2 linked regions of the Drosophila melanogaster genome follow. The protein of the gene in region 2 purifies or fractionates together with the protein of the main gene of each other region. This does not show direct contact. Each region holds a gene or a part of one and is shown on either strand. Other genes may lie near its edges. The genes, in order: Dis3 and Ski6.

What was found.
Region 1: the proteins of Ski6 (region 2) and Dis3 purify together in Drosophila melanogaster (affinity purification with western blotting; 2 studies listed by BioGRID, with this or other methods). This does not show direct contact.

What each region holds. Positions count from the first base shown.
Region 1 is NT_033777.3:24,331,217-24,337,816, reverse strand, and holds Dis3 (Dis3), read right to left. Parts: upstream 4,385-6,600; 5' UTR 4,325-4,384; coding exon 3,945-4,324; intron 3,893-3,944; coding exon 3,448-3,892; intron 3,385-3,447; coding exon 2,306-3,384; intron 2,250-2,305; coding exon 1,581-2,249; intron 1,524-1,580; coding exon 1,148-1,523; 3' UTR 784-1,147; coding exon of another isoform or gene 747-783; 3' UTR 569-746; downstream 1-568. Other genes in the region: CG6432 (uncharacterized protein), read right to left, coding at 747-783; Rrp5 (ribosomal RNA processing 5), read left to right, coding at 4,596-4,676, 4,733-6,600.
Region 2 is NT_033779.5:13,220,854-13,224,319, forward strand, and holds Ski6 (Ski6), read right to left. Parts: upstream 1,577-3,466; 5' UTR 1,508-1,576; intron 1,455-1,507; exon of another isoform or gene 1,378-1,454; 5' UTR 1,369-1,377; coding exon 628-1,368; 3' UTR 544-627; downstream 1-543. Other genes in the region: mRF1 (mitochondrial translation release factor 1), read left to right, coding at 1-412; CG16812 (uncharacterized protein), read left to right, coding at 1,876-1,894, 2,019-2,435, 2,492-3,079, 3,138-3,466.

The sequences.
Region 1 (6,600 bases), on a different chromosome or scaffold from region 2:
TTAGATGGGCGGGTTCATTGTTTCCTCTATTGGGTTAATCGCTGCTTTTAATTAGGCTATCAAACTAAATTACAAACCTTCCACTCCATACCACCTTACACACACCAGGCACATTGAATTTTAAATTTTCCAAATGTCGCGGTCACTCAACTGATTTCTATATACCCAACCTGGCACCCATGTACTGCACATATGCGTCGGGTGTGCGGCTCACCCAGACGCCGAGCATAATCCACACGTGATTGGCGATGGATATTGGACCTAAAAGCCTCCTTGTTGAATAAGCTAATCGAATTCATTAATATTTAGTGCCGACAGTTTGGGCGCACAACTAAACACTAATTAATCACTTCAAAGTCGCATCGAAAGTTCATTATTTTAATTGGCGAGCAGTGGTTTAAAACACAATATTTATCACCTTGAACTCTTGTGCATAAATTATCTATCTATCTACATCGCACTGCAAGAATCCAAGAATATTGTAAAAAGTTGGACTCCACTTAGATAGTTTTTGGAAAATTCGAAAATCTATAGAATTCATTTAGATCACAACGAAAGTTGGCATATTAGTTTTCCAAGCACTTTATTTGATGTTCTAAAAGTTGTTTATTTTAACTGATGTTTTCAATATGCGTATTAAAATATGTGTACCGATATAAATATATGTTCCGCAAAAATCACGCGATTACTCATTGATTAAATTTTTTAGCCTTTTCATATGAATTTCGAAACCTTTTTCGACTTACTGCCTTCGTAGTTCACTGCACTAGGACCGGGTTCCATTGTAACTTTGTATAACTTCCGTTCTTGTATATATTCAAGTCAAGTTAATGTATATATGTATTTATTATATATATTCTTTTTGAATTTTTTGGATCAAACGAGCTCAGCACAACCGTCGCACTGTAGTCGAAACTTTGCAATGGGTCTGGAGAATGTAGAACGCAAGTTGGAAACCAAAACCTTAAACAAAACACCCGATCAAAGGTATGCTTTCGAAACTCTCCGAGATCGGCAGAGCCGGAACGGTGGAAAAGGTTTACGAAACGGAGCGGAATTTAAAAACCTTACATTTTATTTATACGAAATGATTGTAGTTACACATCTTCAGCGTAGTCTAGTTCCACATAAGCAAAGATCCAAAGAATTACTTCTTTTTCTTATCCTTCTTTGTCTTTTTCGATGGAGGTGCCGCAGAAACCGCTTGGCTATCAGTTCCTTCGGTGGTCGTTTCCACGCTGAAGCCCTTGATGTACGGCTTGACCAGCCGGAAGATCAGCTTCTCGTGCTGCACATTGCTGGAATCCAGGCTAAGACGAACCGTGACTGGATCAAAGGAGTGGAACACCACGTCACCGCAACGCTGTGTATGATCCTCTTCGTTGAAGGTGAAGACAATCTCGCTCTTGACGCGCTCCACACCGTCCTTGCCATCCTTGTCCGACTTTAGATACAAAGTGCCTTCCAGGCCATACTTGGGGATTAGCACTTGCAGAGCATTCTTGCGCACAAATAGCACATATCTAGGGATGGGTAATAATTGAAAAGAATGTTGCCCACTAGTGGTTTCTTCGACTCACCCTTCCTCATCCTCCTCCTTGCCGCGGAAAAAGAGATGCGTGTTGAGGGCCACTGATGCGCGACCAGCGTACTGAGCCATTTTGTGGCGGTAGTTAAGATTATGACACAGCTCCTCATTTGACTTTCGGTCCAATAGCTGGGCATAGGTGCTATCCGCGCCGATTGAGGCGGCCAGCAGGCGATGTACCATAATGTCGGAGTAACGACGAATGGGCGACGTAAAGTGCGTGTAGATGGGAGCAGCCAGACCGTAGTGGAAGAACTCCTCCTTCTGCAGACTGCCGCTGATGAAGTACACTGCCTGCATCATACAGCGTGTGGTGAGGATGCGGATCATTGTGTTAAAGTACGGATTATCCGCCTTGACACACTTGTCCAGTGAATGCGACAGCTCCAGTCCCGAATTGATGTCCACCTGGAAGCCCTGGTAGCGCGCAGACTTTACCAGCGGATCGAAATTGGTAGGCGGTGGCCGAGGATGGCGACGCAGAACAGCGCACTCGGAGAACTCCGTTGCGATATGCTCGGCCACCGTGATGTTGGCCAGCAACATGAACTCCTCCACCATGGAATTCGTCTCGCGCATCTGCTTCACCTCCACCTCGAGTGGTTCGTGTGTCTCGCTGTCCACCTGGAAGCGGATCTCCGGGGAGGCAAGGACAAGGGCTCTGTAAATTATGGATGCCTTAGTTCACTTGATTACGAGGTGTTAATATAATCTTACCCATTATCCATTCGTCGCTTTTTCAGTATTTTGGCCAACCGATTAAGATTTCTCAGGGACTTGGCTATTTCATTCTGTTGCGTGGCATCGTCGATGATATTCTGCGCTTCCTCGTAGGTCATGGCACGCTTCGATTTGATGACGCTCTTGTGGAAGCGTTTGCTTAACACATTTGCTTCATTGTCCACTTCCCACACGCAGGAGAAGGCGAATCGCTCAACACCGCCAACCAATGAGCAGAGATTTGAGCTGAGTAACTCGGGTACCATGTCGATTCGTTTGCCCACCAAGTACACGGTGGTTCCCCTGGCCGCTGCCTCCATGTCCAGTGCGTTTCCTGGACGAATAAAGTGACTTACGTCGGCTATGTGAACGCCCACTTCCAGATTGCCGTTCGGTAGTTCCTTGCAGTGCAAAGCATCATCGATATCCGTGCAGCCCGGGGGATCCACAGAGCAAATGTACAGATCCCTCAGATCCACACGCTTGGAATAGTCCTCGTCAGTAATTGTCCAGGGCATTTTCGGCAAGAAGCTAAGCACTTCGTCCGAGAACTTGCAGTGCGGGACGTCGTGCTCCAGCAGGATAACCTCGTTCTCGGTGGCCATGTCTCCGAGCGGTCCCAGGGAGCGCACAAAATGTCCATGTGGGTAGCGCGAGTTGCGCGGCCATGTGTCAATCGTTACGATGATGCGCTGGTTCTGCAGCATTGCTGCCTGTCGCGTTTCGATACGGATGCGCGGAATCTTACGGTCGGCGGGCACAAAGATGTGCCGATTTGTATCCTCTATTAAGCTAGGCTGCAGGATGCCGCAATACTGTCGCCATTTCCGTCGCACAATACCGACAATTCGCCCTGTGGGCGTGCGCTCTGCGGATAAGGCAGCGGCACGCACCTGATTCAACATCTCATTTTCATCCTTGGCCCTTTCCTCGCTGGGCACTTCATCGGCATAGACATTCTTCTCCTCCAGTACAATTTCACTGGGTGCTGACCACTCCGCCTCGGGCAAAAGCTCCACGGCCACCAGGTCGCCATCCACGGCCCGATTAAGAGACTCGCGTCCTTGGATAAGGATCTATTAAACAGAAATCGTATTGTGAAGCGTATGCCAGGGAAGATATTTAGCGTTTTAACTTACCCCCTTTTCGAATTTCTCTACATTGACGGTGCCCTCCAAGTAGTTTTCCCTGGATGCCTGAAAAGTGCCCTGTAGTAGCTTATTTTGGCGCAGTCCTTCCAGCAGCTCCTTCATGCTGAGATGCGGCGGGTACTGGGGCAGACCATTCTTCTCGCTGTCGAATGTTTTGTGCGACAGCTTATCCATCAGAAGTGGAAAATCCTCGAGAGATTTCACGTACTCCGCTGCTGTGGTCACCAGAATACCTTCTGCTTCGGCCTTAGCACGATTGGCAGCATCATCTGTGAGCAGAACAACTCGCGTAGCAGCTTTGCCACTGCGCTCGAACTCTTTAGAGGATTGCGAGGCCTGCAGGTGATCATCGTACCACTTGGTGGCCAGACGAATGGCCCGATCATTGCGATCATTGGCGGTCTCATCTGGTTCGCGATCAGCATAGGTTTCCCTAGAAGAAGCACTATATTATAAAGGTTTCCCAAGAAAATCCATTAACCCACTTGTGGTGCTCGTTGACGAACACATAGAAGTTCCTGGTGCGGTCGTGGACGATCTCATTGAATCGCTTGTAAATGGCGGAGCTCCTGTGCTTCACCTCGTTGAGCACGGTGGTCAGAACGACTACGTTGCGCAAAACATCCTCCTCCAGCACGTCGATCTGGTCCAGAACCACATTTGTGTCCAAAACGAGATAGTGCGGGAATTTGAAGAGGGTGCTCTTATTCGCGTGCTGCGAGGTGAGCTGGTATACCTCGTTTTGGAAACACTCCCGGCACAGCTCGGAGCCGCAGCCGATGTCGTCGCGCAGATAGTGCTCCCGTACAATCTTCAGAATGTTGCCGCGCTTGGTTTTACGCGTAAATTCGCGTAAAGTTTGCATTTTGTTGAACCGCGTTCGAATTGTTACACCTTCACATGTGTGCCGGAATAGGGAGGCCCGTGCATGATTCGACTGCGGTATTATCTGCCTAAGGCCTGTTCACACTGCAGCCGCAATGGTCACAGTGGTTTGAGTCTACGGACTGCCCCGTATCTTAAGGTATAATTTAGTACCATTTATTGAACTGATTTTCTATATCGGCGCTTAGCACGTGTAGAACGCACGTTGCTCAAATTTTGTTATTTAAAACGCTAAATTACACAGCTCCCGGATGGTGCCGAACGAGAAAAGCTTTCCCCGAGGCGGGACAATCCACAGCGAAGTCAAAACCGACGACGTGAGCCTGAATATCGTGAGTTTAGCCAGCGAAATATCCGAGATCTTTGTACATACTTTTCTGTCCCACAGGTTTTCGGTGCCTCGCAGAAGAAGGTGAAGAAGGCGCCGAAAGTAAAAGAGAACCTTCTGAGCTACGAAACCGAGGAACAAAATGGCCAACTGGAGGCCTTCTCCGCGGAAACGCTCAATATGGACACGCTGCAGGAGGACATGCTGGTCATGGGAGTGGTCAAGGAGTTGACAGCCACCGCACTGCAGATCGCTTTGCCCGGTCGGATGTTCGCCCGCACCTTGGTGGCGGATATATCCGACGCCTACACCCGTGTGGCCAAGGCGGCCATGTCCGGAGACACCAGCGAGTACCACGACCTTACCGAGCTCTTCCAGTTGGGCCGCATCGTCTACGGCAAGGCCATCAAAACAGAAAAGCTGGACACCGGTCGGGTTAGCCTGCTCCTTTCCCTCAAGCCGGCCGATGTGCACGGTAATCTGCATCACAAGAGCATTAAGAAGGGTTTCATCTTCTCTGGCGCCGTGGCGGAGGCTCTGGAGCACGGCTATGTCATCGAGTCGGGAGTACAAGGACTTCAGGCATTCGTGCCATGCGAGAAGCCAGCTCAGAAGCTACACGTGGGGCAGTTGGCTTTCCTAAAAGTCAAAACCGTTCATCACGACACCCACCAGAGCACCTGCACCTGTGTCCAGGTGGAGCAGGACCAGCTGCGCATCAAGAGTCAAAACGAGACGAATCTCGACTACATTCTGCCAGGCAGCATTGTAAAGTTTAAGGTGGCCAAGCATCTGAAGGATGGCCTCAAAGGCAGCATCATGAATGAATCCTTTAGTGCCTACGTCAACGAACATCATCTAGCTAACGCTTTGGATACTTTGGATGCCTACGAGCTGAATGAGGATTACAATGCCAGGGTACTCTACGTGATGCCCCTAACCAAACTAGTGTACTTAACTCTTAATCTGGATATCAAAACTGGAGCTGCAGTAGCAAAAGATCAGGATGAGGAAGAGCAGGAGGTAGAGCCCATAAAGGTGGGTTCCGTGGTGGAAAAAGCCAAGGTTCTGCGCTTGGGCAGCGGTGGCGTGGTACTGCTTCTTAATAAGAAACTAAAGGGCATTATCTCATACGGTTCAATCAGAGGCAATTTCAAGGGAAATTATGACAAGGACGAAGTATTGTCCAAATACGGAAGAAAAACGAAGCATAAGGTTCGCATCCTAGGATACGATGTCATCGAATCCTTGTACTACTGCTCCGATGATCCCAACGTGGTCAACGAAAAGCTGTTCTGCCTGGAGGATATTAATGCCGGCGATCTGGTCACAGCGAAAATATTCAAGAAGGATGACAAGATCAAGGGCTGGTCGGTGAGGATCGGCAAGGTCAACGGAATACTGGAACAGTTCTATCTGGCACCCAATGTCCGCTACGATGTGGGTCAGTCGTTGAAGTGCCGCGTCCTAGAAGTTAATGCCGAGCGAAAAATCTGCTACGTGAGCAATCGTGCCGAGTATTTGGGCAAGGGAATTAAAATTCTGACTGATTATGCGTCCGCTCACGTTGGAAACGTCTATATGGGCACAGTAGTCCGATGTGAGGACACTTACGTCCTAGTGAAGTTCGGCAACGGCATCAAAGGAGTTTTGCACAGGCAGAATCTAAAGGAAAATAGCTCATTTTTCGAGGGACAAACAACTAAGTTCCGCATCCTAACACGCAACAAGGACCAAATCACTTTGACTTTGCCGGAGGACAAGTTCCAGCTTGGTGAGATCTGTCCCGTTGAGATAACCAATGCCTTAGACGCTGGACTGGAAGTTAAAATCACCTTCGCCGCCGAAGATGACGAAGAGGATGAAGATGGGAATCCAAAGCTGGAGGAGTTTGTGGGCCTAATTCCACTGCGATTGTTGTCGGATCA
Region 2 (3,466 bases):
TAACACCACCGACTCGGCTGTAAGAATTGTTCATCTGCCCACGGGTCTGGCGGTGGAGGCGCAATCGGAACGCTCCCAGCTCAAAAACCGGGAGCTAGCGATGAAGCGTCTACGGTCGCGACTTGTGCAACAGCAGTTGGAGAGCGTTGAGGCTAGCAAAATGGCCACCAAGAAGGCGCAACAGGGTAGTCTCAATCGCAATGAGAAGATCCGTACCTACAATTTCGTCCAGGACCGCATAACGGATCATCGAATTCAAGGCGGTACGCTGCACAACCTCAATGGTTTCCTCAAGGGCGGCGACCAACTGAGTGGACTAATAGAGAAGTTGCAACTGGAACATCGAAGGGAACGACTAAAGGAGCTCTTGGATAGGTGGGAGCCACCAAAAGAAGCTATTGAGAAAAACTAGAGCTACTTTCGTTTGTTACTACATTTATACGCCTGTGTTTTAGAGGATAATTGTGCTTTTGCAACAGAAATTATATTAAAAGAGAGCAAGGGCAGCCATCTGAATACAATGTTAAAGACACTATTTAATTTGTAAATGTTGGTTCCTTTTTATTATAATTGTTGCCCTTCAATTGTAAAAAACGACAAGATTGGAATAGAAAAGATTACTTTATTTCAACCAACTTTCGCAAAGTCAGAGGCACTGCCCATGTGCAGAAGGTGCTCCTTGACTGCTGCCTCCAGAATGTCCCTTATTTCGCGGCAACCCGCCATAGCAGTCTCGATGACGGTTTCCAAGTGATCGATGTGGAACCGCTCACTCATCTCAAGAAAGGCGATTTTCTCGGCGGTAGGCAAGGCAGCCACGGTTAGTTTCGGTCCGCCGGATACCTCCTCGAACTGAGAGATGTCTGTGAGCGGGATGTTCGATTTGCTCAGTGAGGCGGTGCAGGCGACAATGAACTCATTGAGGCAGATTCCCGCATCAATTAGCGCCAGTGTGGCGGCATTAAGAGCCACCGCATAGTTGGCGCCGTCGTCTTGGAGCACCTCCACGTATATGTCTATCTGGGAGCGGGGATATAGTTCTGATTTAATGGCAGCACTTAGCGCCTGCTGCAGGTACAACTTGAACTCCAGAGATTTGCGATCGCCGCGCGGCCTATTTTTGCGCTCCGCCGTGGAGAAGGTTGCCTGACTGTACTGACAGTTGATGACGGACTCTGTCTGATTGCCCTTGGCCTGGTGGGGTCCATAGACGGCAGCCAGAACCTTGGTGTTTCCCTGCTCCATGTAGGCACTTCCATCGGGCTGCTCGAAGACTCCCAGTTTGCACTTGATGCGGCGCAATTCATGAGGACGTCGTCCGTCCAGACGGAGGCCCTGCTCACTGAGCAGATCGTATTTACCAGACATATTTTGAAACTTTAGAAATACAATTATTTTGATTTTAACTAAATATCACACGTGCGGCGGGATTTGTTTACAATTTTAACAACAGTGTGGAAGTACTAAAAATACCGACAGTCCATGAAAAAATCCTTTTTATACTAACTTCTTTTAATATGTACACCGTACGTATGTAAGAGTAAATAAATAATTAAGCATATATTGCCAAAGTGTACTACATTAAATCACGATATATAGAAATTTAATAAGGATTTTAATAAGATTCTTTAAATTTAAATTTGAACAGTGTTTGCTTTGATTACCCCTACTACAACATTTTGGAATTTAACAACACTAACACATGGTCTAATCGATATCCGATAACCGAATACCGATAATCGTTCAGGATTTGTGGTAACTCTAAAATATATAAATAGTTTCGAGTGCAAAAAACGGAATTTATGGGAATAAAATAAATAAATAGTAGCTGAATCGTGTAAGAATCTGTGCTTGCCAGCACCAGAAATACGCAAAATGTCCAAGTCAAGCGCAGGTGGGTTTATAACATCGTGAAAACGAAACAAACTGAACAGACGCTTCCGGGTGCGAAACAAAAATAAAGACCTAAAAAATATCACACACTTTAAAAATAATGAACTCACCACCGAAAATTACAGCACGCTGGGTAAAATTCTTCAATGCGGCCGGCATCCCATCTCCTGCGGCTGCCGGCTATGCCCACGTCTTCGTGGAGAACCGCATCCAGGACGACATGCTGTTGGATCTTAACAAGGAGTATCTCCGGGAAATGGGCATAACCTTGATGGGCGATATAATCGCCATCCTGCGGCACTCAAAGACCGTCTGCGAACAGAATGCCCGGGAACAGGTCCTCACAACGGAGGTGGTTCAATCAGTTGTCCGACCGGTATCGCCAAAACCCAAAGCGCCGGTTGCAACTCCAAAAGCAAAGGTTTATCCGCCTGCGAAACCTGCAAGACGGGTGCTTCCGGAGCACGAGGGCAAGTACAAGGTGACACTGCCCTCGGGAACCACCGAGCGCAGCAAACAGATCTTAGCCAAGCGGGAAAAATGTAAGATTACAGATTTCTAAAGAACAAGATCAAATTTTCAATATATCTTCTTTTAGTATACTCCGATCGTGTGAGCAGCTCCAAAAAGTCGGACATATTTACGCGCCTGCATGCCGAGGACGAGGCGCAGGAGGGCATTGTCTCCAGTTCGGGCGAGAGCAGCGTCCGCGTGCACGTTGCCGGCGCATCAAAAACAGCGGCCACCTCCAGCAATAATTCGGTCTTCGCTCGACTCGGTGGCAAGCAGGGCGCTCTTCCGGAGGAGTTCACTTCGACCAGGGAAATCAAATCGATCCTTAAAAACACACACCGTACAGTTGGTGGTGGAGGAGGAGGAGGAGGGGTCACCAAGAACTCGCCCATTGTGAAAGCGAAGAAGGTGGCCGCTGTAACGCAGCAAAAGGTCATGCTAGTTCACAAAGTGCCTCTTAAAAAAGGCGACGACGACGATGATAGCATGGACGATTTCGAAAGTGACGAAGAGGATTACATGTCCAGCGGAGAAGATTTTGATATGGGAGCCGGCGAAAAGATTGTTAAGTTCGCCTCGACAGCGGAGGTTCGGGAAATCGTTCCCGAATCGGCATACAAAAATAGGCAGGGCAAAAGTTTTGCGAATAATATTAAATCAAGGCTCGGAATGGGTATGTTTGCTTCAGAGCAGAAGTGGCACAGTCAATTAATTTATAACATTTTTTTTAGTATCCAAACTTCATGCCACGAAGAAGACATACAACCTAAAGGCATCGCCTGCAAGGAAACCACAGGCTCGACTCAGTCCTGTTAAGGGCAAGACCATACGCATGCGCAGCGACGAGCTGTTTAGCCGACAGGACACGGTGCCCGTCCACAGGAGGCTTGGAAAAACCGCGACCTCCGCTCCCCTTAGAGCTCCACCAGCTCCGCCACATCGACAGCCGCGACCGGAGCCACAGAAGAAATATGTTCCGCCAAGGCGCCATAACAGCATGAATGCTGGTCACAGCAGGCAGCGAGATCAATCTGGCTCTGTTTTTGACCGCCTTGGCTTC